Drosophila melanogaster: one gene and its partner. The protein of the gene in region 2 interacts with the protein of the main gene of each other region in a pairwise test. Each region holds a gene or a part of one and is shown on either strand. Other genes may lie near its edges.

What was found.
Region 1: the proteins of CG4955 (region 2) and CG5906 interact in a two-hybrid assay, tested with the Drosophila melanogaster proteins (one large-scale study listed by BioGRID).

Annotation. Positions count from the first base shown.
Region 1 is NT_037436.4:11,864,654-11,881,266, forward strand, and holds CG5906 (uncharacterized protein), read right to left. Parts: upstream 6,653-16,613; 5' UTR 6,585-6,652; coding exon 5,994-6,584; 3' UTR 5,804-5,993; downstream 1-5,803. Other genes in the region: Sprn (spermitin), read left to right, coding at 14,568-15,510, 15,568-16,364.
Region 2 is NC_004354.4:17,071,225-17,088,387, reverse strand, and holds CG4955 (uncharacterized protein), read right to left. Parts: upstream 6,942-17,163; 5' UTR 6,805-6,941; coding exon 5,738-6,804; intron 5,666-5,737; coding exon 5,179-5,665; 3' UTR 5,032-5,178; downstream 1-5,031. Other genes in the region: CG8945 (uncharacterized protein), read left to right, coding at 776-3,383, 3,853-4,306, 4,408-4,922, 7,068-7,429, 7,519-7,708, 7,802-7,965; CG4949 (uncharacterized protein), read right to left, coding at 8,802-9,320, 9,380-9,454; wcy (wacky), read left to right, coding at 13,390-13,593, 14,777-15,125, 15,191-15,442, 15,524-15,598, 15,664-15,739, 15,849-15,934, 16,000-16,095, 16,155-16,570 and 2 more.

The DNA of each region.
Region 1 (16,613 bases), on a different chromosome or scaffold from region 2:
TGCAGGTAACTTAAAAATGCAGCTAACTTAATTTTTTTTTTTTAAGGAAAAATAAAGAATTTATTTCTTTATAACAATGTTAAACATAAAAGGAACTGATAATTTCATTCTTAATGATAAGTAAGATCGACATATAAATTTAAGTGATGGTGAATTGATTAAAACACTTTTTAAAACTAACTTAAAAATAGTCAGTAATTTTTTTTTGCAATACAGCTGAGTTTATATGTAAATTAAACAGCTTGTCTTCCATAGAATTCAAGTTTTGCAAAAACTCATCATTATTGTTTCGCATAAAAATGGACTTTAAAGCCTTAATTGCTGCAAACCCATCCTTAAAAGTAGGACGCTCAGTATCGTCCACATCTTCATCACTATGGCTTTCTTCGTTATCGCTGGTTTTTGCATCTTGAACTAAAGAGCGCACGATTTCATCATCATCTAATTCGCCGTGTATTTTGCCATACTTTATATTGTGGCGCTTGCGCCAGCGCCAAAGCCAGCTGGCGTCAGGTTCAAAGGCGTCGTTAAATTTTTGGCAAAATTCTTTCGCTTTTGCTAATATGACGTGCCGGTCAAGAATTACGTTCTTTGATTCCTGCTGTCCGAACCAAATGTATAAGGCTTCTTCTACTAAGTCGTGCGCTCCTTTTCTTTGACGCTTTCTTTTTAAACCTGACGCGGCCACAGCTTCATGAATTTCATTTGTTTTTTGTAAAATGCGGTTGACTGTGGATCTGTCGCATTTGAACTTGGCACAAATTTCCTTTTTGTCCACTTTGTTGGTCACTAACTCGATTATTTGAAGCTTTTCCTTTAGTGTTAGTCCAACGACACGCTTTGTTTTACCCATTTTAATAACTTTGTGTCATAAGAAACAAAAACACAAAAATCACGATCAAAGCAAAAACAAAAACGGACATGCGCAGATACTGAAACGAGTTGGCATTCTTGCCATCTTTTAGATATGCAAAAATGATTCATAGATGGCGCAGCTAACTTTGATGATATTCATTGAAATTGGCAAAAAAAACAGCTGATATGATGCACTTAAGTTAAAAAGGCTGTTATCTGCGATGCAGCAAACGTATGAATTTTCGTACAAATTTTCTATTCACACAAAAAAATGGAAAAATAATGCAGATATCTTGCCGATGCAGCTAACTATCGATGCAGCTAAGCGAATTATACTGTAGTTGTATGCCTTATGGTGTCCATATACCACTACTATTTAACAAGTATATTGTAGATATGACCACTCAATGGATATGTTCACTATTTTTACAGAGATGTTAAACAAATGTAAAGCCAACGGGTATGTGCCAAAAACATTTGTATTCCAACACCTTGGACGACCGGAGTACGTAAATTTGTACTTCAAATAAGTGAATTCAGACAGCATCCAGATAGCTTAACATATTTGTCATAGACGATGGTATCGCACATGGAAATCCAGATACGACAAACTTTTCACTATGTTTGGAAGTTTCCCAGCCAACACGAATAAATCCGTAGTCACGCGTCGCGAATCCTGTTCCTTTTTTTATTCTTTTTCTTTTTTTTTTTTGTTTCCTACGGACACGTCACCTGCGGCGATGTTCCATTTGGGACTCAGAGGGGGCGAAGAAAAAAAAAACCCAGTTGGAGATGTCCTTAACAGATTTTTGAGTCAACGTCTGTGCTGCGATTCGTGTTGTGTGTTCTTTCCTTTTGTTAATATTATTTCGTTGTATTTTTTGTACACACTTACCAGCGCTAGCTGGAAGGTCCCTGCTTCATTTACATTTGCTTCATCCTATTATCCTGGTTAACCGGCCCGTTCCCAGCTCTCCTTCACTCCAATCCACCGTCGTGCCATTTGTCAAGTTATGCTACCAACTTCAGCCCGCGGCTTTTTTGTAATTACACAACTCGGAGTGCGGGAATAACAAAGGAGAGGGTAGTGGGGAGTGGTGAGGATTTCGAGGTGCTTTTGGCCCGGGTAAATGAAAGCGGCTTAAAAAAGCAGCGCGTTCGGGGTTTTGTGGTGCTCGTTAAAATTTGTTGCTCTCATTTCGATTGTTGCTGTGGTGGTGGTGGTGGTGGTGCTGGGCTGCTGTTGTTTTTGCCTTGCTCTCTGTAATTGTTGTTTGCGCCGCTGTTGCCGATTTTAGTGCGATTCCATTGCCAGGACAGGCATAAAAGTTATCCGGGTATTCAGGGATTGTAGGTATTACGGTTAAATATGCAAACCGGATTGAAAAGCTCGCATGAAGTTGCCCGACCACGATTCATGATCCCCGCACCCCTCACTTTCGTTTGGCCACTTTAATGCTCATTCAATTTTCCAGAGCCCAACAATTAAGAGTTTTTAATCATCGACTAGTCTGCCACAGCAGCAGCACCGGAGGCCCAATGGGGCCCAGCTGGATTGTTGGCCATCGGATGGTGGATGTTGGATCCTGGATGTTGGATGGCCTTTGTATGGCTCCATTATGCGGTTGATTTACTACCCAAACAGCTGTGAAATATCATGGCCCTCCACGAAGCCTCTTGACCGATGGCAAACGTAACGGAAACGGGTCAAAGGGATTCGCCCACATGAGCATAGTTGCCTTCAAAGTTTTCCTTCAAACTTTTACCGCTAGGGATTTTGGAGGATATTAAAATATGGCGTGGGTGGTTACTTATGCATATAAATATATTTTATTTGTAACCAAAGTTTGTTCAGAAAAAAAAGGTAACATTAAGAGGAAGTAGAAGGTCTCATTCATTGTTGAAGTAGCAAAATAATTTTTGTGAAAAAAAGTAAGTTTCGCTAATAGGCGGCTGTAGAAAAGGGAATGACGAACAGAACCCTCTTGTTTCGTTCTCATACTAAACTACTTTTTAATGCTTTTCAAGTCCCCATGAAATGACTGCATTTATTATCCATTTACTGTAGCGAGTTAATGCCCTGATCCTCCCCAGCTTATCTTTGCTTGAACGGAACAGCAGCTTGTTTACACCCATATTTATCAATGCTGTCCGCAATAGGACTTTGACGGAGTAACGAGATGCCCCCATCCTGGACGGAAAGTTTTGAGCAACTCAGCTAGATAAATCAACTGGCATTAGAACGGGGTTATGCTGCTGTTGCTGTTGCTGCGGCAAGATAAATAAATTAACTCGTTCAAGTTGGCTGACAGATGGACTTAGGGCCATCATGATGGGACAGAGCCATCATTGCCAATCCCTCGTCTCGCTCCCCAGGCGAACAAACAAGTCGTTAAAAACGCGTGAATCCTGGCTAATTTATGGCTAATTAAGTTGACGCAACTTTTGTGCGGGGTAAAATGGTGGGGAATCCCCGCCATCCGTAACATATGCCACGTGTTCTCAAGCCAGTTATGGCATTTTTGTTTGAAAAGCCGTTTGCAACCATTTTCTCCTACACTCAGCGAAACAATGGGCGAGTCTAGTGCTTGACCGTTCTCGTGAATATCTCGTTAATTATGTAGCCTGTTATGGGCAGCTTACCATCGTAATGCATTTTTATGATCGCAAATGGAATTATAACTGCTGGGCATGTCGACTACACAATGCTCCACTTCCTTTTATTTTCATGCTTGTACTCATTTTGTTTGCAAGTAGCTGAAGTGCACTGCGAAAAAATCGGTGTCTTTAATAAAAAAATTAAATGGAAACTATGAACAGTTTGCTAAGCTGGAGTAAATCGTTATCTGAATCCTAAGTGTATGTGAATTCAACTATATTATCTGCTTAGTGCCAGATCAGTTTGTTATATAAGTTTCACAACCTTTTTTCTTGCTCTGTATTTACACACAATGCCATTACAAGGGCATAGGTTATGGTCGGCTACCCGTAGACAAACTCCGTGGTCCGGAGGATTGTATGGGAACCTCCACCTCAACATACAGACTACGCAACATAACCGTACATCTCTGCCCTCCAGTCGGGGTAATTTCGTAGACAAACATCATTGGCATTTCTGTTTGAGGGCTCTGAGTGCCAATTAACTGAACGTGGCTGCCCCACCTGAATCGGATGGCTGGGTGGTTGGATGAGAGTGCTCGACCCTCAAATGGCACAGAATCCTCCATGTACATCCTCCATATATATGTACATATATAGTAGATATCGATCAGATCCCTTACACAGGCTTTCAATGGGTGCTTATCTAATTGCTTACAGCAGGTGTCAACATTTTTATCATGCCATTAAATCAATTCGAACTGAGTTTTACGGGTATGAATAGGTAGAAAAAAATATAAAAAAAACACCTTAAATATTTTGAATACCTTCAAATAATTGTTGATTTTATAATTAATTGAGATATGAAAATCATCAAACAGCTTAATTTGAAGTCCTGTTTTTTCGTTGTTTCTGCTTTTGGTTAGCCATCGTCGGTGGCTTGACAAACTCGCTCATCAACACGTAGTCTCATTGTGGGATACTTTAACCACGCACACAACTCATCAGGGACCCCAACTGAGTTGGCTGGCCACGTGCCGCAGAGCCCCAGGATCCACCAATTCCTTCTGAAAAGGAATTCGCTGGGTGGGACTGGAACTGAGCTTTTAAATTAAATCACAAAATGAGGATGGAGCGACTAAGGCAAGCCAGTCCGCCGCTAAACCAAATAAATAAACCCTTTGGCCGCAGTCCTTGGTGTGCTTGGGGTCCTCGGTGTCCTTGCCTCTTAAAGGCGCATCCTCCTTGGGAGAGATAACAGTGAGGACAGGAAGTCAGCTTGCCAGTGGGAAGAAGGAATGTGAATGGCATGCACAGTGGACCAAATGGGACAATCGATGGCGAGTGAAAATCATGTAGTGAAGTTCTTAAATACTTATCAAGTATTTAATTCATTAAAAATGATGGCTCAGAAGCTATTTGCACTTTAAATTAAATTTATATTCTTCGGCCAGTAGAGTATCTGACAAATAAATCCTTTAATTCATCCACTGTGGAACGAGAAATGACATCTCGTTGCGCCTGGCAATTCGGTAGCCAAAAGGACACGAGGAGACCAAAAGGGATAATGGCATAAAATCCAACAAAATGAAAAGAAAGCGGCAAATCATGTTAAGAGATTTAAATTGGATTAGTCGACATGTGTGTGTGAGTGGATGTTAGTCTCTATCCTTGGTGGTGTCAACTGGCGGTGGCCGTGAAGCCCGCTTCTGCGCCCCCTGGATGTGGATATCCTGGCACGGTCGGCACTCGCTCATCTTGACATCAATTTTGTCACTTGATTTCCCTTTCTTTTCGGCATTTTTTTTATTCGTGCCCGCCCGTCCTGGGTTTTTATTTATTTTGTATGCTTGACACAATTCTACGTCGAGGACTTACGGCTCGAGTGTCTCCCTGGTCCTTGATGCCATTCACCCAGAATTCCGCCCAGAATCTGCTCCTTCGCAGTCACCCCGCAAAAAAAGTTCCGCCCACGTTCTGCATTTGACAAGGAGTCATCCTTCCCCGAATCGGGCGGTCACCTTTCATCCTCGGGAAACAGGAGGACGACCAGCTTGACATCCGGAGACATGGCGTCAGGTTGAGCCGTCGTCACAATTAGAATAACATTTTATAATATCTGGACAATTACAATAAATTACTTTCAGATCTTAACGCCAACGACCTGGTAATTGAGCAATAACTGGAAAAATGTATTGAAGGAGCATGAATATTTTCAATAAAAAGCAACTATTTTTATTTTTTAAGAATGTTTTTAACTGTAGGAGTAATCCGTTCTACATGGAAATTTGCTTTAAAAATATTTGCTAACACAGCCGGCAACTTTAAGGAATAAAGATTTTGAATTTTTCTACTTTGCTGATTTTCTTCAAAGAAGAATTTTATTTAAGGACACCCAAAATTTTAGTTCCAGGATCTAAGGCATTGGAATGACATTTTTCAGGACCTGCTATTGTATGATTTGCAGTGGCAGTCCAGAACAGTAGACAACCATATTAAGACCATTAGATTTGAGCTATATTCCAAATATTTTTCTCCATTTACGAATTATCTTTTGGCTCCGGCTTCTTACGATACTTAACTTGAGACGTATAGATATCGTAGCCCAAACTGATGGTGTTGTCATAGAATACCCTGTATTGCGGCTTGATCAGCAGAAAGTTGATGAACTGTGCCAATGGCCACACGGTCCACTCAGCAGCGTACAGTACTAAGGCCTTCTCCCTAATCTCCTGCTCCAGCTCCTCCCACGTATTGTCCTCCAGAATGGCCATTGTGAGAAAGAATACGGCGATGTAAAAGGGTGAGCAGATGAACTGGTCCAGCAAAATCTTGACTACAACCACCTTATAGGTGCGCTTCGGAAACAAGTAGTCCAGATGTTGGTACCAATAGTGGCACACCAGGCCCACCGTCAACCCGGATATGCCCATCCTAATGGTACGCGTTCGGTTCCAATCCGGAAGCTCTCCTATGAGGCGCTCATAGGACTGCTCCATGGTATCGCCCACCATGCTCAGGCCCACAGAGATCCCGATGTTGGTAAATAGGAGATACTTTGGGCTGAAGGCTATCTGATGAAACCGGTCCATGGCATTCGTCATTCGCCTCCATAGCACTCGTAGAGCCATCTAGGATCCCCTGTTCCTGGTGGTGCCTCCCCCTATTCTAATCATCTTGACACATTTCTCTAAGAAACTCGAATAACTATTTAGAAGTGTGTTTCGGCTTATAAATTTCATACTGGGTGGAATCAAAGCAGCTGATAACTAGATCCTATAAATCATAATAGATATTTAATTGGTCTTATAAATGTTTTCATTTTAATAAATACATTATCCTTTATTTATTTCTAATGTTTTATATCTTAATGCTTATCAAAGATATTTGAAACGAGTTTCACGCCACGTTAGCAAGAATTCTGCAACCACCCTCGAAATTCCAATCAAAGTTTTAATCAAAATGCCGCAGGAATGCCCTTATATATTTGTTAAAGATAATGGCGAAACCGCCACTAGAAATTATTCTCTACAAAACAAAAGGATTCGAAAAGGATAAAGGGAATTTGGCATTTAGCTGCGAAAACAAAACACAAACAGGCAATGAAATCAATTTGGCGCCAGCAACACGAAATGAGTTTTCGCAGGATTTGTTGAGGTAGCCAAAGCGGGCTCCAACTTGTATCTAACGCCTGAGCAGAGGACCGCCAACCGCCGTTGAAAGGACCCAAAAGGGTTGCCCGCCCACACGCACCGAAGACACACAACAAAAAAAAAAAAAAGGAATCGCTTTGCTCGGCATTCAAATGAGGCCTTCTCTCCGCTCGATAATCCCCAGCCCACATGTTGCTCCGCCGCATCACCAGCATCCTCCCTACTTTAGGGGTTTGAGTGTTTTGGGGTCTTGACGCCTCCGGCGGGCAATTTTTTGCCATCCCGGGTGTCGGTGAGTTAATACTGCCAAATCATTTGCACGCGATTCCCAACCGCAGAATCCAAATGCAACCCCTTTGCGCCCCTTGGGGAAATCATATGTGCCAACCCTTCGTTCCCCCCATGACACGCTTTTGTGGGCCAGTGAATTGAAAAATATTTACGGCCTTCTACGATCTACGCTAAAATCCAATTTTATTTTTATATTCCGTCGAAATCCGCCATAAAACCGTGTTCCACCAACGCGCCTGCCCCGTTTTCAGTTCCCCGTTTCCGATTGTCGATTCAACCGTAAATTCAGCTTTTGCAGTTTTTGGGTTTTGTTTGCTGGGTGTTCGGGGTTTTCTAAAATTCCTCCCATATCAAATGATTCTGACAGCACCGGAGGTCGTGGGGTTTAGGCATTTGTTTCATTAGCACCACGATACACAGATGTATCTACTGTTTTCCCACCAGTCGCTGCACTATTTGCCGTCGTTTAATATTCGCATTTTGGAAAATGCCAGAAAATGGCACAAACCAACAGAATTTAAAATAATAAACGTTAATGCGCAATCGAAAATAATCAACAAAAACGTGTCAGTGTAAATTTGTTGAGAAATAATTGGGATAGATAATTGGCAGAACAATTTTTTCGTTCATTTTCAAACGAAAAGCTTTTCATAAATCCCTTTTTCAATAGAATTCAACGCATTTACATTTTTAATCCCATTTAATATTCATTAGTTCATTTCATTATTCATTTTACAAAGAGTACTTTCTACATTCTATATCTAATTTTCCTATCACAGTCCCAAAATGTGTAACTCGCAAGGGGTCGACAACAATAAACGCTGATTCGGTTAGAATCCTTCGCAGGACCTGCCGTACAAAAGCCTTCTAGGTCTAATTCATTGTGCAAATGTAATGGGCTTGCAGCGCTCGGCTATTTACATACTGGCACTTCCAACCCGTAACCCGTAACTTTTGGGAGCACCGGAGAGATATGGAGATGCTATATTGTGTCGCCTGTCCCCAGCTCCATGGACACATGAGTACGTCTAGCTGGATGGTAGCCAGGCTCCTGAAGCGTGGCAAAAAGCTACAAAAAAAAACACAAAAAATGAAGAAGGAAAATGTACCAAAAAAAAAAAAAAAAAACAAAAGTGAAAGCGGCCATGCATTTTCATAGTTTTTCCCACTTTGTTATGCTGATTTTTCACATTCTCGTTTCCTTTCCTTTCGTTTTTCCTGCCAGCCAGCGTTCGTTCCGCTCTCATATTTTTTTCTTTTTTTTTTTTTTTTTTTTTGCCTGCTACTGGATGATGTTGCCGGGTTTTTAAGGGTTTTTGGCTGCCGAGTTGTGGGGTTCCGAGCATGTGTGCATTTTAATTGAATTTTTCATTTCGCTCAATAAAAGCAAAGGCCGAATGTGCAGCCAGCGGGCCGCAAAAAGTGTCATAATCCTTCGCCTAGTGTCCTTGGACCCCATCATTTAAAAGGACCCCGGACCAAAATTCGAGCGATTTGGTTGATTTACTTCACAGTGGCTAAGCATTTAATTTCATATATATGTATATATATTGGAAATCACTCTCTAATTGATTTCGAATCGATTTTGAATGGCGCTTTAGTTCATGTTTAGACGGCCATTCGGCTTCATTTTCCACTGGCTGCCTCGACTTCAATTTATGCAAATTAAATCGAAATGTGATTTTAATGGCATTTTCGGCACGGCCAGTCCCAAATGATGATGAGTGTGTTTGCAAATAAATGGAAGTCGAAAAGTTAAGCCATCTCTGTGTGCAGCATTTCGTGCCGCCGGGAATCCATTCCACTCCGCCGAACCAAAAGGAAGCCAACTATAACCGCATGTTCCGTTCCGGAAAACTAACTTATTCAATTAGTGGATGGAAAACTTTGGCTGTTTACTGTACACTTCAAATAAAATCTGCCCGTCGAGGGCAGACATCTGTGTATGCTTCACTTGTTTAAAAAAAAAATTGTGAAATCCACTCATTTAATTTGAACTTTTACAGGTGTTCTACATGTTTAAGGCAACTTCTCCATTCATTTTGCGCCATATTTATTCCAGGATCGTTGTCACATAGCTACTGATAGCAAAATATTATAAAATGCTGGCCACTTAATCCACTTCTTTTATACGAAGTATGGATTGCATAAATAGCTTAAAAAACAAATGTATTTCTTTATTTTCGGGCTGACATATTCTCTGAGCCAGTGTGAAAAACACACGCAGTTTTTTGTTCGATTCCGATAAAAATGCAAACATATAAAAGTCAGAGATAGCATTTCACCAGAAAAATGCGATTTTTCACAACGAATGTGTACCAAAAATATTTAATCAATATACAAAATGGTGGGATACATTTAATGTGCAAAAGAGAGATATTTCTGATTATGTCCATCTGTCTAGTTGAATATTTGTTTTTAGCTGCGAAACAAACGGAATTCGGAAACGAAATTCGAAAGGATCAAAGGTCAATTCACTTGACTCGTGCAGTCAAGCGGTTGCGGGTAAAGGAACTCCCGGCATATTTGAACTGCACCGCCGGGGAAAATAAGTCAGCTCACCGTTAACGTAAACGAGTAAATAGCCAAACATCCAAACAGTCAACACGTCGGCATCGTCGTCACCCGCCAGTCGTGCCAATTTCGTTAAAGCAAGCGAAAACAAACAACACGGCACCACCCTCAAAAACCCCAAACCCCAGTCACCAGTCACCGGTACCCAGTACCCAACCCCAAGCTCCAACCCAATTCAAATACAGCCAGCCGCCCACTTTGTACAGGCTGTCTGGACGATGCACAAAAACAAAAGAGCAACCAGGTGAGCAGAGGATGACAGGTGTCCTGGTTCGCGAAGCATGAGCACTAAAAAAAAAAATTGCCTAAAATCGAGCCTTTCATTAAGTTTTTCTTTCTTTCCAATTATGTGTTAACATGAGAACAAAGCTTCACAAATTGATTTGTTAAATATTTTCCTTTAAATATTTTGTTTTTTTCTGAAACTAGTATCTAGCATTTCTCCGAGTGTAAGTACCTTATTACCATGGGTGGAGCACAGCTGTTTATGAGGCGCAAAAATGTCATACATCATGCGACACGCGATGTCAGGCTGAGAGGACATGGGCACCAGGACTCCGGCCGGAATCGCTGTCCGTCCTTTTGGCTGTCCGTCTGTCCGTTCATGACGCGGAACAAGATGAAATTGGCTGGGGTCGCGTAAGCGGAGCAAAACGGCAGGCATGCAGAAAAGAACGTCGCGGATTTGTAACTGAGAAGGATCCACTAACGCCAGAAACGAAAAATGAGTGCTGGGATGTGATGGGGCTTTCTCCGGCAGACAGACTGCATCATCACCTCCATTGCCACCTCCTGCAGTACTTTACCATTATTATCAGCAGGATTGCACGGTCGATGTGGAGAGGGATGAGTGTGTGTGCGGTGTGCGGCAACTCCTGGCTGCTCGCTCCTCCTTAGGATAGGCATTCACGCCCAGCTAAGTGGCACACGAAGCGTTAAACTATTAAGCACATGTTGCCACTCGGCGGGTGATTCATGGAACGGGATGTGGAGGAGCTGCGTCACGCACAGGAAGTGCCATCGCCACCGCCACCGCTTTTGTTATTCGGCTTAAGATAAATCATGTGCATAAGTCTTGGTCCATGTCGCCATGCCGTGAGATTACTATATAAATTCTGGTTGCCATCACATTTAAAAATTTCATTTTATCACAGCTTTAGAAATTTTCCCACTGACGAATTATAATTTATATACATTTTATATAAAGTGCTCCTCCTTTCTGAAAAGTTAATAAGAATTACAAATATATATAAAGGCATATTGCTGTACGCAACACTAATAAAACTGATTTAAAGATTCTTGCAAACAACACTAGCTTAAAAGGGGGTAATAGACTAAGTGCTTTAGACTCAATTTAAAATCAGAAAGGTAAATACATTTCACTCGAAGCTTTTCCATTTGCACACACAGGCGCACACATTAGCTCTTTGAAAGGAGTGTAACTGCTGGTAAACTAAAGTGCTTAAAGCCAGAAAAATAACAGACAAATTAGAAACACACACACTCACGCACACAGGCGAGTCTGTCCAACTGAACTAACTTTTCAAAGGCACTGTAAAGGATATCACGGCGCTGCGGGGAGGTGGGCCACTCTAATTAGAATAATTTTGCGCTGCGTTGCGCTTGGCAGCGCTGCAGATGTGGCGCCATCTGGCGGGCGATGGCAGGAGAAAGGTGATGCCTGCAGGATCCACACACACACGCACATACAGCTATGGCATGATGCAAAACAAACAAATACACTGAGCAAAAAGGAAGTATGAGGATATAAAATAAATATTTGTCAATATTGTCAATACTGGGATTAAAAGAATATTTACATATTCATATCTAAAATGTCTATAGCTTTTAAGTAAATATTTAAATTAAACGACAAACACAAAAAGCATAAAGTAGTCTGCTTAATAAAGTTAAGCTATAATAACATTTAAATGCAACGAGACACTTTGAGTTATTCTTTTTCCGTAAAATTTGATTTCGTTTTGAATTGAGTTTTTATTGTCAGTGCACCAAAGGCACCTGGACCTGGCCTGCATTCCTTGTATATCGAGCAAATGTCAGGCCGAAAGGTCAACGAACCCAGGTGAACACAGAAAGAGAGACCGAGAAGTGATACTAAATATAATCAGGATGAAAGCATCACACATACGCACTGTGGAGCCGCAGGAGTCGGTGATGCCAACGGGGAGTGCCTTAAATTACAGAATTTAATTAATTTCGCTGAGATTTTTCATCGGCCGCCGCCGCGCACTTGACTTTGTACATTTGACTCATCTCCATGGCTCTTTTTTTGCCTGCCACTAATTTCCCCATCATCTGCGGTTGAGTCGTTTCCATGTGAATCACCCAGGACTTGAGTTCGCTGGGTCCCACTTCCACTTCCATTTCCATATCCATATCCACTCCCATTTTAATTTTAATTAATTTCAATGTGTATGTGGCAGCTGTGACTGTCGCTCGCCAGAAGTCATGGGATGGATTTCCCGGAGGCAGTGAAGCGGCAGCCAAAATGATTATGAGTAATTAGTTTTAATGGGCTCGAAGCATGTCCTGGTAGCAGCAGAATGTCACACTTACGGGCCGGGTGGAAAGCTCGCCAGGTACCCAGGTTACCTTACTTTTCGTCCAGGTTATTCTGGCACACTCTGAAGATGAAATTTAACTCGAGGGCCTGGGTAACCATGAGCTAAATATTTAAGTTGGTTTCTGAAATTACAATATAATGTTGCCTCTCAGCTACTCCACTATGTATATACACATTCATTTTGGTTGGCTAACCAGCCAAATTAATGGCACTTTAACTAGATACTCACATTGAAGTGATATGCTGGTTACTATGCGATTATTAAATTAGGTTTAAATGTCACACTTTAGAGGCAAGATTGGTCACACTTTCATGGTAAGCTCCAACTTCCAAACTAATTAAATAAATCAATTTATTTTTAAACAAAGCAATTGCAACGATGTACACAAACGGGTGGAATGCGAAAATAAAACAAATCATAAATTCGATTTATTGACCTTTCTACGAAGTAAAAATTCAGTTTACTATCTTTATTATTGCATATTAAATCAGCTAAAAATGTACATAATTCATAAATATCTGTGTATTTATAGACACACTAATTAATATTAAACAAATGGTAATTTATGACAGCCTCGGCCGGCAGCTAACTAAAATAAGCAGATATTAAATAATTAGGTTTGTTTTCCATTTATGAAAAATAAATTTATAAGTTTAATTGTATTCAAGCGAGATTTAAATCTAACATGCAGCGCATTTAATCTGCTTTGTCGACAAGTTTTGATTCGTATCAACGCGACTAAAGCTGGATTTGCGAAAACAATGTCATAAATCAAAATCAATTTGAGCAACAATTTGGCTGACATTTCGCAGTCTCTGCGCTCTGATCGGTTTTGCAAATAGATGAGTGTCAACAAAATATTTACGAGGATGCCAAAAGCTTTAGCTGCAAAAAGAGAGACAAAAATCAGACGATGCTTTGAACATTGAGCAGAAAGTCAATTTAGAGCACATACAGGAAAGCGGGTATGTCTGTACGGGATGCGGGATAAATGAGAAAATTGCGAAAAATTCAAAAGGAAACTGGGAAAACTTCGGTGGAACGAGTACCATACAAAATTTAATGGTGCGCAAATTTTGATTGTTTTACTTTGAGAATGGAATGGCATGGAAGTTTCCTTGCCCTCCTTTTGTTTTCATCATTTTTTTTTTTTTTTATTTTCCACTTTGTTTGCATTCGCTATTTATTTATTTCGCCAAGCTTTGAATTCGTTTTTCCACATTTTTTATGCATATTTCAGATTCAAATATTTTCCCAGCGCTATTTGCTTTGACTGGTCGCCGGGCGTATTTGTTTAGCTGCGGGCTTTCATCCATATACATTCACAATCCTCATTCTCATCTCACGCAGAAAATAATGTCGAAACTGGGCGATGTTTTCACTTTGGCCTTCAGGTGCTTTTGTTTCCATTCTCATTCTCTGTCCGGTGAAAAGCTGGCGAAAACTTGTTGTCAATGTAATTTGATTCCCATTCCACACGGCGGACCATTCCATATGCCCCAGCTTCCTTTTGCCGTCTCTATGATTACGCATACGCTCCGTTGGACAAAGAGCAAATTGTAATTAGACACAGGGGCCGAATGTCCCATGCGTGCGGACAACAATGAACGGAAGTTGTTCCTAGAATCAGATGTATCTTGTTGTTTTCTACCGATGGGAACGCCAAACGGTCCTTTCTGCGATACTGATGATACTGATGACAATAAGGAACGAAACTATGAAACACTGAAAATGAAGGACAATGGAAACAAAGAAGTCTCAATGTTTGAGTTTGTATTTCAAAAGAATCTTCTTTTATTATTTGATTATTGGTGAAAGACAAATACAACAACTCCAATGGTAATGAACAAATAATTACAAAATATTTGTAGAACATGCTTTCAACGTCAATCAAGAATTTATCTCACATTGAATCAACACTCAATAAGCTGTAAGTCATTTGTGTTTAAAATTCCGGTATAATTTGTATTTATTTAAATTTTATTCCGTAGCTAGATATTCAGCTTAAACCATGTTGCACTGCCAAGTGGAAGGGGCAAAAGCAGAGCAACGTGAGTGTCCTGTGATGCACTCAGAGAATTCTGCGGAAACTTTCAGTTCGGAGGAATCCCAAGCCAGTGACTGTAACCAGCCGTTGGATGTTCAAAGTCCAAAGCTGACAACAAACATAGAAGAGTCCTTTAAGGTGGACTGTAAGCTTTCGCTGAATACTCTTCTGTCACCTATTAATATCACCGATCCATTGCGTAAGCAAATTGATTTTCAGTGTAAATTGGGTGATTTATCCTTCTTTGGACCAGTCATGTGTTCTATATCAGAGTTTAACAAAGAGGAACAAACTATGGAGCCGTATTTTATTCAGGAATTAGATATGGCTTGTGCTGGCCAAGAAGTTGAGCAAGTTGCGGAGGAAAATGTATTCGAAACTGGACCACAGTTGAAGCTACCGGAAAATCAACCTATCAACGATTCGATAACAACAGAAACTAATGAAACGAAGTTACCGTCAACGGAAGCACTAAATGTTTTAAATTTAGCAGAATTCAGTGAACCAGTAATGGAAAAATCAAATATATCCATTGAAGAAGTCAATCTTACAGGAGCCGAAGAAATAAATGAACCCATAAGTGATGAACCAAATAGTCAACTAGTTGAAAGTGCTGCCAAACTACAGCCAAAATCACTTGGAATTCAAATACCTCCTCTACAGATCGAAGATTTGATTTCTCCATTAGTAGAACAACCGAAGATAGCAACTAAACTGGGTGTTATTAGTTTCTTGACAGGAAACAAGTTGGCTTTAACGCCCAGTGTAAGGCTCTCTTTTGGTGATAGAGTAACGACCAGGACAAACAAAAAATCCAAGGAAATTGTTCAACAGCAAGCTTCTAAAGCACTAAAGGCGTTAATTTCAGTTTTCACAATGCAGCGAAGGCTAGAGGCATCACAGTGTGGTAAATAGTTAGGAATTTAACTACTTCATTCCCATGCTAATCGAACATTACTTTCAGATAATTCCAATAATAGCCGATCGAAACGATTTGAACAACTAAAAAGCTCTTTAACCTTTTCACGAGTATTTAGGCAGAACATCTTTCAGCCAACTTCGAAGATAGAAAGCCGCCAGCAGAATACTGATGCTAACTCACTGGAGTCTGGGGAACCCAATTTTAAAAGTACAAGCGCATACAAAGAACCACTACCCATACCCTACCGACAAGATGCTGGCGAAGGACTAACTTGTAATGGCTTGAACGTAAGCAAGGATTCAGTTTTTAGTGAGGTTTCCGAAAGTGATGTATCGGAGACGCACAATAAGTTATTTGCGATGAAAAAAACACAGGAGGGGCTTAGTTCGACCAGATCGATTGGCGAACTAAGTAACATTCTGAACAATGGTAGGGTATTGTTCAGCCAGCCCGTTAGACTTTTCTGTTTTAACAAATTGAAGGAGTGGAAACGGCAAGGTAAAGTACCACGTTTCCATGAGAGTCCTTACCGTTCCCCCTCCTTCTCAGGCGAGGGTCAAATCGAGGTGATCGAGCACCACGGATCATACTACATAGTACTCCATGACAAGGTCAGCGGGGAGCTCATCATCCACATGCGGGTGGACGAGAAGTGGCGCATCGACTACATGACCAAGAGTTCCTATAGCTGCCGTTGGACCAACATCAACTACGCCAACTGCCGCGATGGCACCCTGGAGAGGATCGCCTGCTCCTTCCGTGAACCCAGCCACGCTGCTGAGTTTGTCGCCCGGATCCGGAATAGTGCACTCCAATCACGCCTCGAATGCAGTTCCTAATTTGTAATGATTTCTTTTCAATGCCTTCTAGTTGATTTCCTTGGAAATTCCTTGGCGTTTCTCGCATTCGAGAGCGTGTTTAAGCTGGCCATAAATTATTGTGCGATCTTTGAATATATTTTGTAAATATTGCGATTTGAATATTAAAAAATTATAGCTAAAAACAAATGGTTGCGTTCATATTACTACTATATACTTTATTTATTTATATATATTATTATTGTTATTAGGAAGCGTATGCAGTGTTTG
Region 2 (17,163 bases):
CTGCTGGGATGCGTGCCTCCATAAAGCCAAATCGCATGGGGGCCTCCCAAGATCGCACAGGGGAGCACTAAGCAAAAAGTCCACTTAATATTACAGTTGAAGCGAAAAAGGCTAATTGAATATTTTATTTATAATTTAGGTAGTTGTTAATTTCAATGACAATTTTATTTTCTTACTCCCATCCACAGAACATAATTTTATATAAAAAAAAAAAAAATTGTAAAAAAAAATCGATTTATTAATAGTATAAAACATAGTATGCAAAAAGGAAATAGGATAAGACTTAGGTTATCCATGCTCCTGTACTTTCGATTCCATTATTTATCTACAGCTTAACCCTTGTGTATCACATTGCCGATTAGATCGGCAATTTGGCATGGCTCGATAACTGTCGCAAGGCCAGTTAAGAAGATAGTTGGTTGGTTGTTTGGCTTTGTGAAAGGGGGGGGGGGGGTTATACCAGCTAAGTGGCGGCCAGAACGTTCGAGGAGTTGGGGTTACGCGAGCTCGAAGCCACAGAGAGGCAGAAGAAGAGAAGACGAGTGGAGAAGAGGAGGTTGACTGGGAGGAGGAGGAGGAGGAGGAGGAGCGTTACGGGCCAAAAGCCAAGTGGCCGAAACTGTGATGGCGCAGGGGCCCGAAGACGGGGCTTTCACCGACCGGCTGAGTTGGGCCCGCAACTTGGGGCTCGTTTCATTTGCCAACCAGCCGCGCAGCCAAACAGCCATAGTAATATCGTCGTCGTGGATAATCGTCAGTTTGGCGAGCATTAGACATGGTAACTGGGCTGCCCGTTGTGCTCTTGATCGTGGTCATGGTCGTGGATGTCGTCCATCGAACGGGTGCCATCGACTTTGGCTATCATCCGAGTGCCGAAGAGTCCGACAGCCTGGTGCGCCAAAGCTGGGGTCGCGATCTCCTTCAGCGTCGCGTCCAAGATCGCCGTTTTGTGCCGCGCTACCAGCATCAGACATCCATTCGTTTCGAGCCGCCTGAACTGGATTTTCAGCTTTTCGATGAGGATCAGGATCAGGCACCCTCGCAGCCGTATGTCTTTGAGTCTGTGGAGGAAAGCCAACCGGGATCCACAATTTTCGATCAATTCCATGTGCAGAGCGAACTGCTAGAGATTAAGGAACCCAATCCATCGCGCAAGCCCCAAACAAAGCCACAATCAGCCGGTAATGGCACCACATTTCCCATATACTTCACACATCCAACCACCGGGATTGTCTACGCCATTAGCCAAGTGGGTGTGGGTCATAATCCGAATGGAATACCCACCCAAAGTAGGAATGATAGCAATGCAATAGCGATCTATGTAACAAAGGCACAGTACGATGCCGATATGGAGAGTCTGCGGAGGCAATATGAGCAGCAATGCCTGCCAATTCCACCGGGAACGGTTATATCCACGCTGAATCCAGTGCATCATGGTGGCACCACCGCCAGGCCTCAGATCATCCGACTGAAGAAGCCCAAGAATCCAATAACCAAGCCCAGTAACAAATTACCCAAACCAAATTATCGACCACCACCTGTGATGGTAACCAGCGGACCCATCGATCATGTATCCGATCAGCTGCTCAAGCTGCCCCACCGAACGGGTAGCACCACCAGAAGCACAACCACCACCACCAGCACAACTTCAAGGCCAAATACACGTAGGAAGAAGCGCAAGAAGATACCAAAGAATAAGACTAAAGTGATCAAAAAGAGGCCGGGCTATGGGGCAAATAACACCAGAGGTCCGCAAGGCTCCTTGCCCATTATCCTGGGCAAAAGACCGAGCACCACCACCACAACCACCACATCGCGACCACCGCCGGCTTATACGCAACTGGAGAAACCACATATGCCCCAGGCCACACTGCCCACATCCAATGTCTTTAGTCAGCATTTGTTGAGAAGCGACTTAGAGCCGGCGGAAGAAAGTGAAACACTAGAAGAACAGGAACCACTTCAATCGGATGAGCAACTAAATCTTAGAATACGGCGTTCGGTGGAAGATGTACGAAGAGAGAAAAGAAGGGGACCACTTCACGCAAAAAAAAGAAATTCATCTTTAAAAGCTCTGATTAAGAAGAGTGTACTTAAAAATGCGGTTAAAAGAGCTAGGCTCCTGAAGAATCAGGGAGAAATGGATTCTTCTAGAACACAACACCGCAGAAGTCGTCGCTCTTTGTATAGCATTAAAAATGGTGAAATAGAGAAATCTATAAAAACAGAAAAGGCGACCAAAGTTCCATCAGAAGAAGCGGAAAAAGAGGTCACAGCAGATTCTACAAAACGATCACAAAAAGTCGTATCTAAGGAGTCCAAAACCATATTATCCAGAGGAAACCCAAATGTTGTAGCAGCTCGTCGGGTGAGTACTCCCAAAAGGCGCTCACCAAAGGGAAGTTCCGGGAGGCGAAAGACCAAGCAGCAAACACCACCATCCACGCAGAAGAAAGAGAAGAATTCGGGTGGCGTACTTCACATACCCACCGCCCTGCATCTGCTTCACAGAAATCACAGTCAGGATGAAGTACCCAAGGTTCCACTAAATGCCAATCAAAAAAAGAAAAGAAAAGTTAAAGAACGCAAACGCGGAAGACCCCAGCTGCCAAGTTTTGATATATTCGAACTCATGTCCGATGGCGACTACGAGGATGAGGGGGAGGAGGAGGAGGAGGAGCAGGACGACGATGAAGACTACTATTTCGAGGACGAGCACAAGGATGAGGATAAAAATAAGCCCAATGAAAGCAGCAGCACCGAGGTGGGACAGAGTGATCTCAAGGAAGATAGCAGCTCCGCGGAGGAGGGAGCTGATTTTGGAGCTATGGTGGAGGAGGAAACCACGACCACAGCGACTATATCGAGCAGCGAGGAGCTGGATGCCACCTCAAGCACCAAAAACTCCATGGCCAAAAAGAAGATTCGCATCAAGAGGCGACCGGTGGACTCCGATGAGGATTACGACGACGATGAGGACTCCGGAATTGCTGGCTTCTTTCGCATGATCTTCTACCCTGTCCAAGTGGCCATGTCGCGGCTTATGGATGGCTTTGGCACACCCGATGAGGAGGAGGACAAGGAGCCAGCCACACAACCCGTTTCAAAGTATCCCAGCTATACCCTCTATCACAGCGCCCACAGCAATGAAGCGTATGCCGAGCCGGATGATGAGGATTCGGAGGATGACGAAGACTCCTCCTCGCTGGGCAGCTGGTTTGGTTCCTGGTTTGGCCTGCAGCGACGCACTAAGAAGATCGGCAGCACTACCACTACCATGCCAGTGCCATTGCCCCCGCCCACCAAGGCGCCACCCAGTTGGCTGGAGTCCTGGTTCGGATTCGGTTCGACCACGGAGGCGGATGCGGAAGATGACTACGACAGTGAGTACTACAAAAAAGAATGTTCAATGTTTAAGGCCAATGCTTACAGATTGCAAGGATGTTAGGTAGTATTAAACTATGCCCAAAATAATAGTCATGCATATATAAAGGCAGTTAAAACAACTTCATGGTTGATTTGATATTTATTTTAGGAATTATAGTAACGATGATTAGACAATTCATTAATTTATATGTTTGGATTTTCTAACATTGTTGTTTTCAATCTAATTACCGTGCAATTAAAAGCGAGCCATGCTATGTTCTTGTTATTCGAGTGGTTCATTTAATGGCGAGATTGGCTGAATGAGCAGGAAGATAAAAGGGAAAACCCAGAACCTAATTGAATGGCTAACGGTGTGGGTCTCCCAAATGGGTTCTCGTTTTCCTTCACGCTTTCTGCACCGCTAGGAAATATAACCAAAGACAAACAGCCCAAGCACAATATATGACTTATTTTCTCCACGAACAGAATGGTTTTCCAGCTGGTTCGATTCGCGGCCAAAACGTAAGTTTAGACGTCGTTCCACTACCTCCACATCGACCACCTCGACGACAACAACGACGCACACACCATCGGCGGCGGCGGCCCAGGTGCCCATCCTGACCATTGTGGATCCACTGAGGAATCCACAAAACTGGATTGGCATTTTGGCCCATCATATTGTCAATTCCACTGGCAGTGCCATCTCTACGAGCACAAGTAATCCGCTCCTCCAGGCCTTGGCCACTCGAATGACCACCAGGGGAACCACTAGCACCACAACCACCACATCGCGGCCGGACGTTCCCAGGCGCATAAGCTATGACAAGTATCAGATTTGGCGTCTAAAGCCGCAGGATGAAGAGCAGGTCCGTGCACTGGAGGAGTTCAAAAAGGGCGAGGACGGCGTTAAGTTGCAATGGCTCAAGGGTCCAAGTCTCAGGTAAGCTAGACTTAAAGCTCAAAAATGTATGATGACAATCAATTTGGGGATTATTACAATACATTTTAAACCAAATCTTCTCACTCACCTCATCGTTTCAGAGGTCTTACGGATGTTCTTGTGCCACCCAAGATGCTCGTGGACTTTCAGGGCACTCTAAACTACGAGGGCATAGCGCACGAAGTGCTCATTTTCGATGTGGGCAAGGCCATCGCATACGAACTGACCAAAGAGGATTACCTACAAACCACTCGTCCCTCGAAGCCGCGTCCCACGGCACCACCGCCCATGACATGGAATCGTTACCATAATCACGATGAGATCGTCAAGTATCTGGAGACGGTGCGAATGCGTCATCCGCAGCTCGTTGAGCTCATCCACATTGGTCGTTCCTTCGAAGGTCGACCCTTAATTGTGGTAAAGATCGAATCCAAACAGACGGCGGCGGCGGCGAACAACGATGGTCTACACACCATCAAGCGACCCAAGCGGAAGCGGAAGTCGGGCCAGGCAAATGCCGTTTTCGTCGAAGCTGGTGCTCAGGGATTGGCCTGGATTGGACCCGCGGCGGCCACCTGGATGATTGCCGAACTGCTGCGACTAATGAAAACAAACAGTGAGTATATACACATATACTATTACCGAACTAGTATGTTCGTATTCTTAAACATCTATTTCACGATATTAATAATACTGGCCCAGATCATAAGTAACAATTTAGTAATACCTACAAAAGTTTTCTCTTAAAGTTTATTCAAATTGAAATTTTTGCAAATGATCGAATGGTTCGTGTTTCCAGGCAATACGTATAGTTTCGCAGTCTTAAGTCAGTTTAAGTATTATTGGCGCCCAACGTGGGGCTTCGTTGGTGGTTACTGCAACATGCGAACCAGTGTGTCGCGCATCCAGAGCACAATGGTGGGTGGTTGTTTCATCTCAGTCGGAATAGCATATCGTCTCGAGCTCAAGAAAATTGCCCGTCCCTCGCAATCCGTATACCTCGTTTTGCGGTGCGTGTGAAAGCCCAGGCTGGGTCCACAAGTGGCTGCCTTCTTAATCTTCGGCTTATGAGCACAGGTCTTGGTTTTGGATGCACAGCTCTTGGTCTTTGGCTTGGTGGATCTGTGAAAGAAGCCAATGCCACCACCTTTGGTTCTGGAACGGGCTCGATCCCGTGAATGACAGCAGGAACCACTGAGGTTGGTCACCTGCGATATGGCAAACGCAACGAGCAGCAGCCCGAACACAATGGCCACCGCCACCTGAATGTTGCGATCGGCGTTCTTCAGGTCCACCAGCAACTGGACAACATGGTAGCCCAGAGTAATCCAAAATGTTATCGTGCAGATGGCAAAAAAACTAATGGAAGATTACGTAGATTATCATAGAGTTGGAATGATCCAATCCTGGAATATATAAATATATACTCACACTAAAACACCGAGGACCTCCAATAGGAAGGTAATGAAGAAGTTAAGCTGCTCACTTCCGAAATCTGTTCCAAAAGTTCCCCGCTGCCCGGCGCCAACTTGCTTATAGCCGCCACCTTGAGCTCCTCGTAGGGCGCTCTGTACAGGTGGGCCTCCTGATCCCGTTGTCAATATTAATGGACCAGTTCCCATGGTTCCCGGACCTAGAAAGCTTCCGGGATCAACGCCATGGGCCTGACCGCATCCAAAATCACAGCCAGTTCCATAGCCACAGTCCTCATCGCATGCAACGCCCAGACTGCATCGGTTCTGGCCCAAATTAGCGGCGCCCAGACTGATGGCGAATCCCAGGGTGTCTCTGCCGGCAGGTCCAGCGGCAACTTGTTGTTGTCGCGCCGCCCAACCATGGTGGCAGGCTCCCACGCTCCTCTCACTCTCACCCCTGTTGCCATTATTGTAATCCCCGTTGGACATCATGCTGCTATACCTGTTCTGATCGTAGATGGCGTTCGGGGAGAAGTTTATATTGCCAACCATACTTTCGCTTACAGCCACGGGAGTGGTTTCAAAGCGCAGATTGCCCCCTGCGGGCTCATTGGATGTGGTTCTCGCCGAAGAGGTTTGGAACACTTCCACCATTTCCTCCGATATCCGCGTACTGTCCGAATCCCTGGCTTCAGCACTGAAGACCAAGCTAGCGTGTTGTCCATGCACCGCCGATCCCCGGGGACTGGCCGACTCCGGAATGACCATAACCCCCGGATTTACTTCTGACACTTCCGATGCGCCGGATTCTCTTAGTGGTACGATTGGTGCTCCACCTTCTTCTGGATTTTCGGTAACTTGTAGGCTGTGCGGAGCTCTTGCGATGCGAGAAACTCTTCTGAGTCGTTCGCCCAGAAGGGATGTCATGGTTGGTGCTTTATTACCGTCCGGCTGGAGGAGTAACGCTTTGGCGGTGGCAGGCAATGATGAGCCACTGTCTTCCTCTACTCCTCCTCCAACTGAAGAGTTTGATTTGGAGCACACGTATTTACGCGAGGACTTTCGGGGTCTTCGCCTCTCCATTCTGATCTTGGTCCAACTGGAGGAGAAGTGGCAAGCTGTAAAGGTCTAAAGTATACACTATCGATTTCTGGGTCTACAAATATACTGACTAACGGACTGACAAAGGGATAACTAATGTAATTTGAGTTGGGGAAAAGCGGCTACGTTGATCGGTTGAACAACGTATTTATTTTCTTAAGAGAATTAATATTTATTAACATTTATTTCATATGCATTATGTAAAGTTATGTATAAAAATAACCCATAAAACGTTTACTCAACAGAAAGCAACGAGGACGTGGAGTTCATCCGGAACACCACATGGTACATAATGCCGGTCCTGAATCCGGACGGATATGCGTACAGCCACGAGTACGATCGTTTCTGGAAGAAGTCGCGATCTCAGCACCAGACTCCACCTCCCAGTGGCCTCCTCGACTCGGCGATGACATGGCTCCAGCAAAAACGGGGTCCGGATAAGGTCTGCTACGGGGTGGACCTGGACAGAAACTGGCTGTATCATTGGGGCAAACGGGGTAGCTCCAAGGCACCCTGCAATGAGTTCTACGCCGGTCCAGCGCCATTTTCTGAACCGGAAACCAAGGCAGTATCTGAGTTCCTTATGGACTATAGGACGCAGATAAAGGTATGCTTAGAACAATATATAATTTTTATATTAACTCTCTAAAATAGATATATTTTTTGATTTATTAACTTTATTCATTATTTTTGCAGCTTTACATTTCCCTACAGGCCTATGGTCAGGTGATATCCTATCCGGTCAAGGCCAATTCCACTTTCAATTCAGAAAGATTGGATGATTTTCTGGACGTGGCGATGGTGGGTACCGATGGATTGCGCAAAAAGGGTAGTAAGTCCCGATATAAGGTCGACGCATCCAACGATCTAATTGAACAGCGATCGGGTGCGTAATATTTATATTATTTGCTTCGAAGTAGAATATAATAGAGATCTTTATCCGACCTTGCCAATCCTTTGGCTTCCTTGATTTATCCAGGCTGTGCGGACGCTTTTGCCGCCTACGAGATCGGAATTCCCTTCAGCTACACGCTCCAGCTGGCGGACAACGGAGTGCACGGTTATCTGCTGCCCAGCAGCGCCATTGAGCCCACGGCTCGGGATGCCTTTGAGATCATAAGCGGCATGCTGGACTACATATGAGGCTGGGATGCGGAGATCGGATTCCAATCGAAGACGAAGGCAGCAGGGATTTGGGGTGGGGCTACATGTGAATGAGTTTTAGTTCCTTTTAAACGGGCTTTGGTGGCTTGCGTTCCGGAGATCACTAGCCGTATTTCCGGAATACATTCTCCAATACTTTTAGCTGCATTTACGTATCTTATGCATTCGAAATTTTTTTTTTATTTCATATAAATTCCCTTAAGTTGAGATTTCCGTTTAGCATAATAAATATTATTGTTATATGTATGTATATTATAATTAATTATCAGCAATTTTTTTTTGGTAGTTTTAATCCCTTTTAGACTAAATAGTATACTATAATAAAGTCTTATATTTGATCGAGCATTCGATTGCTTCGCTTTCGTATAACATTTTGCATGGATGCCATGTAGGGAGATATTTTCAACGTACAGTATTTCTTAAGTTCTTGCCAAATGTACGCACTGTCTTAGTATTATATGCGGATATAATATAGCGTGCCTTGCCTTTTATAAATTCATTTTCTTAAATATTCGACCGTTCCCCATTTGGATATCTTTTGGGAAGGCAATATGAATAGCTTTAAGTCAATAAAATGGAAATGCAGTCTTAATAACTCGAAATTCGTTCGAGATTGGAAAATTCGTTCCAGCTTTGAAAATATTCGTCTAACCTGACAAAATGCATGTTTTAATAATGCATAAGGTAAACGTTCTAAGTAAGTATTGTTTGAAAAGCAAGAGCATACGGCGAATAACTACAATACTGCCAGCTATGATTAAACTCAGGAACTGGTTACCAAGGCACTGTAGTGGCTCCAAACTTCTGTCCTTCGTCTAGGCGAATCTCTGGGAGACCATGATCTTGGCCGAGAGCTTGGCAAAATTCGTGTGGCACTCGTTGCCGTGGAAATAGAGTCCAATAAGCAGCTTGAACTGGGCTGCTGACATGGGATACGGTTCCTGCGACATGACCACAATGGTGTCGATGCTTTTGCCCGCCTTCTGTTCCGCCAGATTGGCCAGGATTTCGCGGTAATTCACAAAGGATGCGGAGCACTTGGCAATTTGCCGGACCATTTTGTTCGTGGAGCACTGCTGCATCACAGGACGCAGTAGTGCATCCAAAACGAGCGACTGCAGATCAAAGACTATCAAATCGGGACTGCGCAAGGATTCGGCGCTATCCTGCATTTCCAGCATGCGAAGCGGGGTGCTCTCCACATCCACCAGTTGCAGAATGGTCAGGTATTTGCTGCAGTTATGGGCCTCCCATGGATAGCGCTTTGCCATTCCCTGCTGGCGACTGGTGATCAGTAAGACGCGCTTTTCTTTGGTGGCAAAGCGTTCGCATAGCTAAAAGAAATGCAATTTGATGTTCAAAAACCGACCTGAATCCGATGTTCAGAACTTACCTTTGCCAAATTAAGGGCGTAATCCTCACTGCCCGTCAAATATATATAGTTATTGTTGCAGTCGCTCAAACTCATTCCTTAAAAATGCTTACAAATTAAACAATATATATTTAAGGAATTCTAAAATTCTTCTGCCGCTATTATCGGTATCGGGATGAGTTTTTAATAGAGGTGCCGAAACATCGATGCTAATATCGATGCACCGAGGTTTTTTTTTAAATATTCCAAACATCGATGCTTATTTCAGACTATCGATGTTTTTAGGTTAATCACTAGAATTTCTTCAACTATTTTAATTAATTCAAATAATTAATTACTTTCAAATATTAGCTTGCAGTCATATATATTTTGGGTTTGTGGTGAAACTGACGCAAGTCGATGGACAACTTCGTCGGAGTCGGAAAGGGCATTTAGCAAAGCAGGTCAAATAATTATTATTACCAGTTATACCACCTTAAGATCTTGCATATGAAAAGAAATCTCATTGTTTTTCAGTTTGAATTATCATTCTTTGTTCTTTTGTTTTATATTAAATTAAAAAATTATTGAATTTAATAATATGCAAATGCTTTTTCTTATTTCTCAAGTGTAAATATGTATATATAATTTTTTTTAAAAAACATATAATTTTTAAGTCGGCTTATCGAGAAACAATACATCCGATAGGAATACCCTTGAGCAGTGTGCCCGAAATGATTATGCGATACTATCGAAATGATGTTGTGCAATATATGATAAATTAATATAAACTATCTATATCTAAAACTATTTCAGTATCATCGAAAGTTTATAAAGATCAGCTATTGCGTATATACATAATATGTACAATAACAAAAGTCAAATTAAAAGTTAAAAGTTAAAAGTTATGTTTTTATATATATATTTATTATTTAACAGTAACCAAAAAAGAATTTAAATGCGAACCTAGTTGGCATCCCCGGCTACAGAGTGACCATTTTGCAATCCGTCCAACGCCTAGCGGTGTCAGGCACTAAAAAATACCACAAACGGGGCGCCACCTAGAGTCCACCATATCAACCAGCCAATTGGCACATATAGCCGAACTCTTCTCGCACCCGCATAGCGTGCCGCGCGAGAGGGATAGCCGCACGCAGCGACCGATTGCTGGCAAACTCAACACAGCCGTGCCGACGAACAGACCGCACAAAGCGTAATGCAAAAGAATTGAAAAAAATCATCAAGTATAGAGGCCAAAAAGCGAACACAGCAAGTCGGCATATAATTAAACAATTGTCGTTCAATGCTGAGCAAATAAATGCGGCGATTGCAGCCCAGCAAAGAAGGCGAGCGGCAAATTGCGAATTGCGGTAAGGTACCAAGAAAAAAAGGGAGTAAAATTGAAAAGAAGTCAAACGAAATACGGATCAAGCGACACCACACACACATGCACAGACGCACGCACACAGTCACTCACGGTCGTGCACGCAGAGGCGAATGCCGTGTGTGCTTTAAGTGAAAAATTAAAGGCGTTCCGAATGCTAATTGCATTAAGGAGAGGACAAAAAGGAAGCTGTCTAAAGGATTGCTATGAATGTTTGTACTTTTAGGAGGCAGCAAAATAAGCCGATAATAAGGCGACCGCAATTCAGGCACACATATACGCCACACAAACACCGAGTCAGCGGGCCACACAGACGAAAAGCACACACACACACATGCCACTGAGAGCCTCCCATACAAGCAGACCACAACACACACACACACACATACAAGCGAGCGTGCCTTGGCAGGTGAGAAGAAGAAGAGGAAGCGGTGGAGGCAAAAGGAGGAGCAAACAGGAGGCGCCAAAGGCCCCAGAATATTGGATAAAATCGGAATAAGGCTGCATTATCTTCTCCACGAGAAGAGGAAGCAGCAGCAGCACTACCAGCAACAGCAGTCGACGAAGGAGAAGAGGAAGCAGACGCATAAGCAGCAGCAGCAGCAGCAGCAGCGGAAGAAGCAGCAGCAGGAGGAGGAGCAGGAGAGAGAGGGAAAACCAACAGAAGCAGCAGCAGCGTATTTGGCGAAAAACTTGCATTGATGGTAATGCATGCTAGAAAACCGCAGCGTATGAACGATGGGTAATATATCAAATATTATTTTCAATCTACCGTAATATCGGCAATAACAGTGATTCCCAACGTACTCACAATCACACACACACAGGCAAACTAGCACACTCATAATTGTATATTTTTTTGTTTACGTTCTGTCCTACTGCCATCTCGCTCTAACTCGCAGTGCCCGCGTTTCCTTTTTATCCTCAAATTTTCTCCGTTTACCCTAATTAAGTGATTTTCGTAAATAAATTTGTTTTCCCTATGTTTCTTGCTTTGATTTTCCCACTTATCCATCTTCTCGCGCTATTCATGTTTTTCGTCTTTTCACCACACAATAGTTGCCTCTCGCTCGCACGCGCTCAGCTGGCAAAAGGCCAAAAAAAAAAAAATAGTTCTTGTAACATTTACAGTTGCTTATTGCACCGCAAAATTAGTTCATATCCATTGTTTATCAAACGCGTTTCGCTGTTTGTTTATTTACCATCGCTTTTTAGCCGGCTTTCGATTGTCCGTTAAACGCAGAGCAACTAAAATTAATGACTGTCAACAAATCAATGCCGGCAATTGATAAGCGCTTCTGTTGATAAAATAAAGCTCAATCGGAATTGGGAAATCGATTTACAATTGGCATTTATTTAGTGGGTTTAATATTTAAATTTGATTTTCTAACACAAACAAAGGGATTTAAAATAGAGAATTTGACAAAAATCGATTCAGGTCAGTGCGTTTAAAAGTGCGTTGTAAATAAGCTGAAATAGCTGGTTAACTTCGAAATATGCACTTTGTCATGTCATAAACATTGTTGTGTTTCCTTCAAACACTTGAATATTTTCCCTTAAATCATTACATATTTAGAGCGAGTATAGCAGAACTAAACCAACTAAGTGTGTCTTATATACCCAACTTCATTTGAAAGGAAACTAATGAACTCTTCATCTTGCCCCACCGTTTTCCAGGTACTTTGAGAAGCATACCAGTCACACATCATACCAGGTAAGCAGACCGATCCGAAAATTCTCCTCGAACACCGCAATTAATCACATTTACATGCCAGCTTTTAGTGGACATTTTTAATTTTGTAGTTTAGCTCATTAGCCCGTAGTGCACCCAAAGCCACAAAAAAAAGAATGTAAAAGCCAATGTAAATCGTATTTTTATCGAACCGTCGATTTCCCTAGTGTCATTTGCTGATATTTTGGTAAAGAGAAAAATTAACAAAATTTGCAAATTGTATAGCCTGGATTTTGGATTATTTTTGGTTCATATTTCTCCTTCTTTGTCAATCGCTGTCTTTGTTGTGCATCCCAGATCTTACGTTCCCGTAACCTCATCCATTTTTGAACTGACCGAATCGTGTTTCATTTTAACCCATTCAAAAACGCGGCATTGCAGCCTGAACTGATCTTAACTTGAGAAACGAATCTGTACGCATCACTGCTAAAAAAAAAAAACAAACAAAAAACAAACCCAATCCGAATTCGATCATTTAATCAATTACAACATCTAACCGAACAGCACCAACAAATGTTTTAAATCGAATGATATATATGGTTAAAAGTATACAAATTTATCAAACTATATTAATTAGAAATCGAATGCATAACCAATTTCTAAACTCTGCCTAAGGAATAGGAACCTAATCAAATTAAAATAGCCTTAAAAACGACGTAGTAAACAATTATACACCAATATTAAAAATAACATGAATGTGCGGAACGGAAGAACAAACCAATTTCCAAATTGTCTAACGAAATAATCAACGACAACAACAAAAACACAAATGTGCCTCATACATAAAGCAACAACAATCAATTAAGACACCAACAAATAACTAATGCAAAACAAATAGGAAATAAACCAAAGCCAAATAAAGTGTGCCCTCGAAAACAAGCGACCAATTGGACTTTTAATTCAAATTAAAACCAAATACACTTCAATTAATTATCTATGAGGAGCAACAAAAACTCCTACGGCAGCAGCAACAACAACAGCAACAACATGGCTGTTGATCTCTCCCTTTCGACAACAACAATTGCCAATTGCAACAGCAACATTAGCAACCACAATAACAACAATAACAAAAACAGCGCATCAGCAGCGACGCTGGCAGCGAATTCAACGCCTTCAGCAGTGGGTCTCTGTCGCCTAGAAGTAAGTAACCCAAAGATCCCAGAAAATAATGGTTAAAAACAATAGTAAAATATAAAAACGCAAATAAAGTGATCAAAAACCAATAAAGTGCCACGAACATCGTGCTGTGCGCAGGAAAAGCAATCCTGATAAGGAATAAACAAAAAACATTCAAATTAAGGAACAAATAAAATTACTTAATAATGAATAATAAAAATCAAAAGAAGGCAACAGAACATGAAACATGCAGCAGGAATAAATCTTCCATCCAAACTCGTATATTTTAAACAAAAATCTGACTAAAACGACACACAAATCGCCGCTAATAAAAAACATCAACAAATTATGATTTACATACCAAACACCCAAAGAGTTATTATTCTATATCTCTTAAACAATGAAACACCACTCAATTATGAAGGATTCTTTATTAATTATTATAAAATTTTTTGATAAACACAAGATTGGAATTTTATGGATGATCCCAAAATTTACGATGGACAACAAACAAGGATTTTAATTTTGATTAATATTAAACTGGACAATTAGATTTTCAGTTTGGATAACCTGAAGACAACGACCAATATGAACCAAAAACGAAAGTATCACTTAAAAAAATCCTAAATAATTAGTTTCAATTAATATATAATTTACTCAGGAGACGATAAACCAAAACACACACCAAACACACGACACATTTCAAAATTCTTCTCGATTACACATTTGATTTCTCAAACCATCGGGAGTTTCATTTCACCCAACTTTCTTTTTGTATCCTTTCGTTTCCATTGGCAATAATCACAAGCGAGAAAATTGGCAAAAGTAGCTGGCATTATGCATTAACTTATGATTTTCCTATTGAGTAGATTTAGTTCAACTAACCAACCACCCAACTTCAAAAGTTACAACTAAACCGAGACTTAAATCAACCGCTATTAAGAATGCAATACTAAATATACCAGTGGGTTGGTACTATCCAAGAGATTCAGTAAGGATTTCCTAAATTAATCCCATTTGTTGGAACACGAAAAACTCATATATTGGCTACATTACTTGATGTACTGATTATATTGACCACATCTTGAATCCTTACTGCGATTTCTTAGAGAGTACTCGACAAACATTGTATTTTGTAGCACTGTGCAATTGATTTTGGGAATGTAAATCGACTAAAAACTGTGTGCGCTTTTATTTACCCGTGCAGAGCTCAAAGTACAGCAGTTCAAAGCGCGACTACGAACGCGATCGTTCCTCCAATTATCGCGATCGTGACCTGTCGCCAGGCGCTGGCGGTGGAGGAGGCGGCGGATCCGCTGGAGGAGGTGGCGGCGGTAGCGGAAATGGCGGCGGACCATTGAACAATGGCAACAGCTACCGCTCCCAGTCGCCGGACATTGATTCGCCGTCGTCCCGTTCGCACGATCTGCGCGACCGCAGCGATCATCGGGGCGGAGGTGGCGGCAATGGGCGTGGCGGCAGTGGCGAGCGGTACAGCTTTATGCAGAAGATGCGAGATCGAGATCGGGATGTCTACAAGAAGGATAAATATTCAGGTGAGTTAGCGCAGCTGCAAGTTGGAGTTGTATACCATAACAATACATTATTCTATTCTTCATAGATAAACGTGATCGGCGTGGCAACGATCGCGATTCGGAGTCGTCGTATCGCACCAACCATGATAGGGATCGTCGTGGCGGAGGAGGCAGCGGAGGCGGCAGCGGCAAGCTCTGCTCCTCGCGGGAGAACGACAAACGATCCGGGTCCGACGATCGCGATCGAGATCGGGATCGAGATCTGCGCGACTTGCGCGACAAGCGGGACCGCGGTTCCGATCGCGACAGGGACATGTACAAGAAGGACAAGTACGCAGGTAGGTCCAAGCGCCCATTTACCCCACATCTCCCCTTATTTACTAAACATACTCTGTGGCTTTTGTTTTTTTTTTTGTTAGACAAACGAGAGCGCAGCGATCGCGGCGAACGGACGGCGCGTTATGGCGACTGGAGCGAGCATGTCAGCTCATCAGGTGAGTCCCCCCATGACAGCTTATTCTTCTCCAGGCTCCAAACTATAATATTGGATTGCTTTCAGGCAAAATGTATTATTACAACTGCAAGACGGAAATCTCTCAGTGGGAGAAGCCAAAGGAATGGGTGGACAGAGAAAGGTAAAGGCAATGGCATTATAATATGACCAGCAAAGATCTTGGGAAGAATCTGTAATAAGAGCACCCTAGTCCTTGGTTAAATAGTCATTAATGTGTTATATGGTTACAGAAATTTGCCGCGCGATCAGCATCGTGAGAAGGATTATCGTGACAAGGATCGCGATCGCGACCGCGATGATCGTTTCTCCAGATCAAGTGAGTTAAGAACCTGCTTCAGAAATTTCAAATATGATATTCAAAACATGTGTTTTTCTTTGCAGCATACAAACATTCCAATTCTTCGCGGGACAATTCACGACTGAGATGGAATTACGACAACGATGGCGGTCCGCCCAGTCATCGAAGGCGTTTGGATGGTGAGCATAAAGCAGGTTGCGTAGGATCTAGTTAATTGATTTTAAAATCCTACCGACAGGTCGACACAACGACAATGCTGACATGGATATAAGCGGCGACTCGACGCCTACCTCGGAAGCCAGTTACTCGCTAAGCGGCACGCCCACCACACACGGCGGCGGTCCGGGCGGAGGCGGTCCCGGAGGCGGCGGCGGTAGCAACAGCGATCAGCCAATGGGCAATGCCCTGCCTCGTTTGTCCTCCCACCCAACTGCCAACTCCTCCGCATCCGTGGCGACGGGCACAGGTGCGACGGGGGGACTGCACTACGGCAGCGGAACGGGCGGTGGCCCGGTGACGGGCGCCACAATGCTGCCCACCATGTCGGGAATGCTGAACAGCAACAGCAGCAACAGTGCCGGCGGCAGCAGCAGCAATGCCAGCAGCAGCAGTCTGAGGAACTCCGTTGTCGGTCACATTGGCTCCACATCTGGCGTAAGTTTGGCTTGTTTGATAGCCTTAAGCTTTGGCTTTATTCTTATTTATATGCATTATGCATTGCAGACGACTGTGCCCACACTGGGAAGTCAGGATCCGCACCAGCATCATCTGAACTCGAATGCTCCACTGCCACCGGGTGCCAAGGGCAAGGATCAGGCGCTGCTGATGCGCCAGAAGATGCACCTGGGCCTGGGCGTCCTCGATGTACAATCACATCACGGCGTTAACTCGGTTGGTTCGGTGTCAGATGGGACCAATCACGCCTACAATTCGGTCAATAACTCGGTCTCCGGCAGCTTACGGTAAGCTATTGAAGGCATGTTGCAAGATCATCAACTAAACTTCATGGATATCAATATTGCAGGGACAACAGCGTAAACTCGCCGTTGTATATGCACCACAGCATGTCGCCCTCGTTGAACTTCACCAAGAGTCCCATACCGACGATTGTGGGCCACACGAACAACATGAGCATCGCCTACACCTGCAATCCACCCTTTGGCCTCAAGGCTACCCTCGATGGCGGAGTGATGGTGGCGAATGCCTCACCGGCCACGCCCGGTGGCAACGCCTCCTCCGGCTCCAGT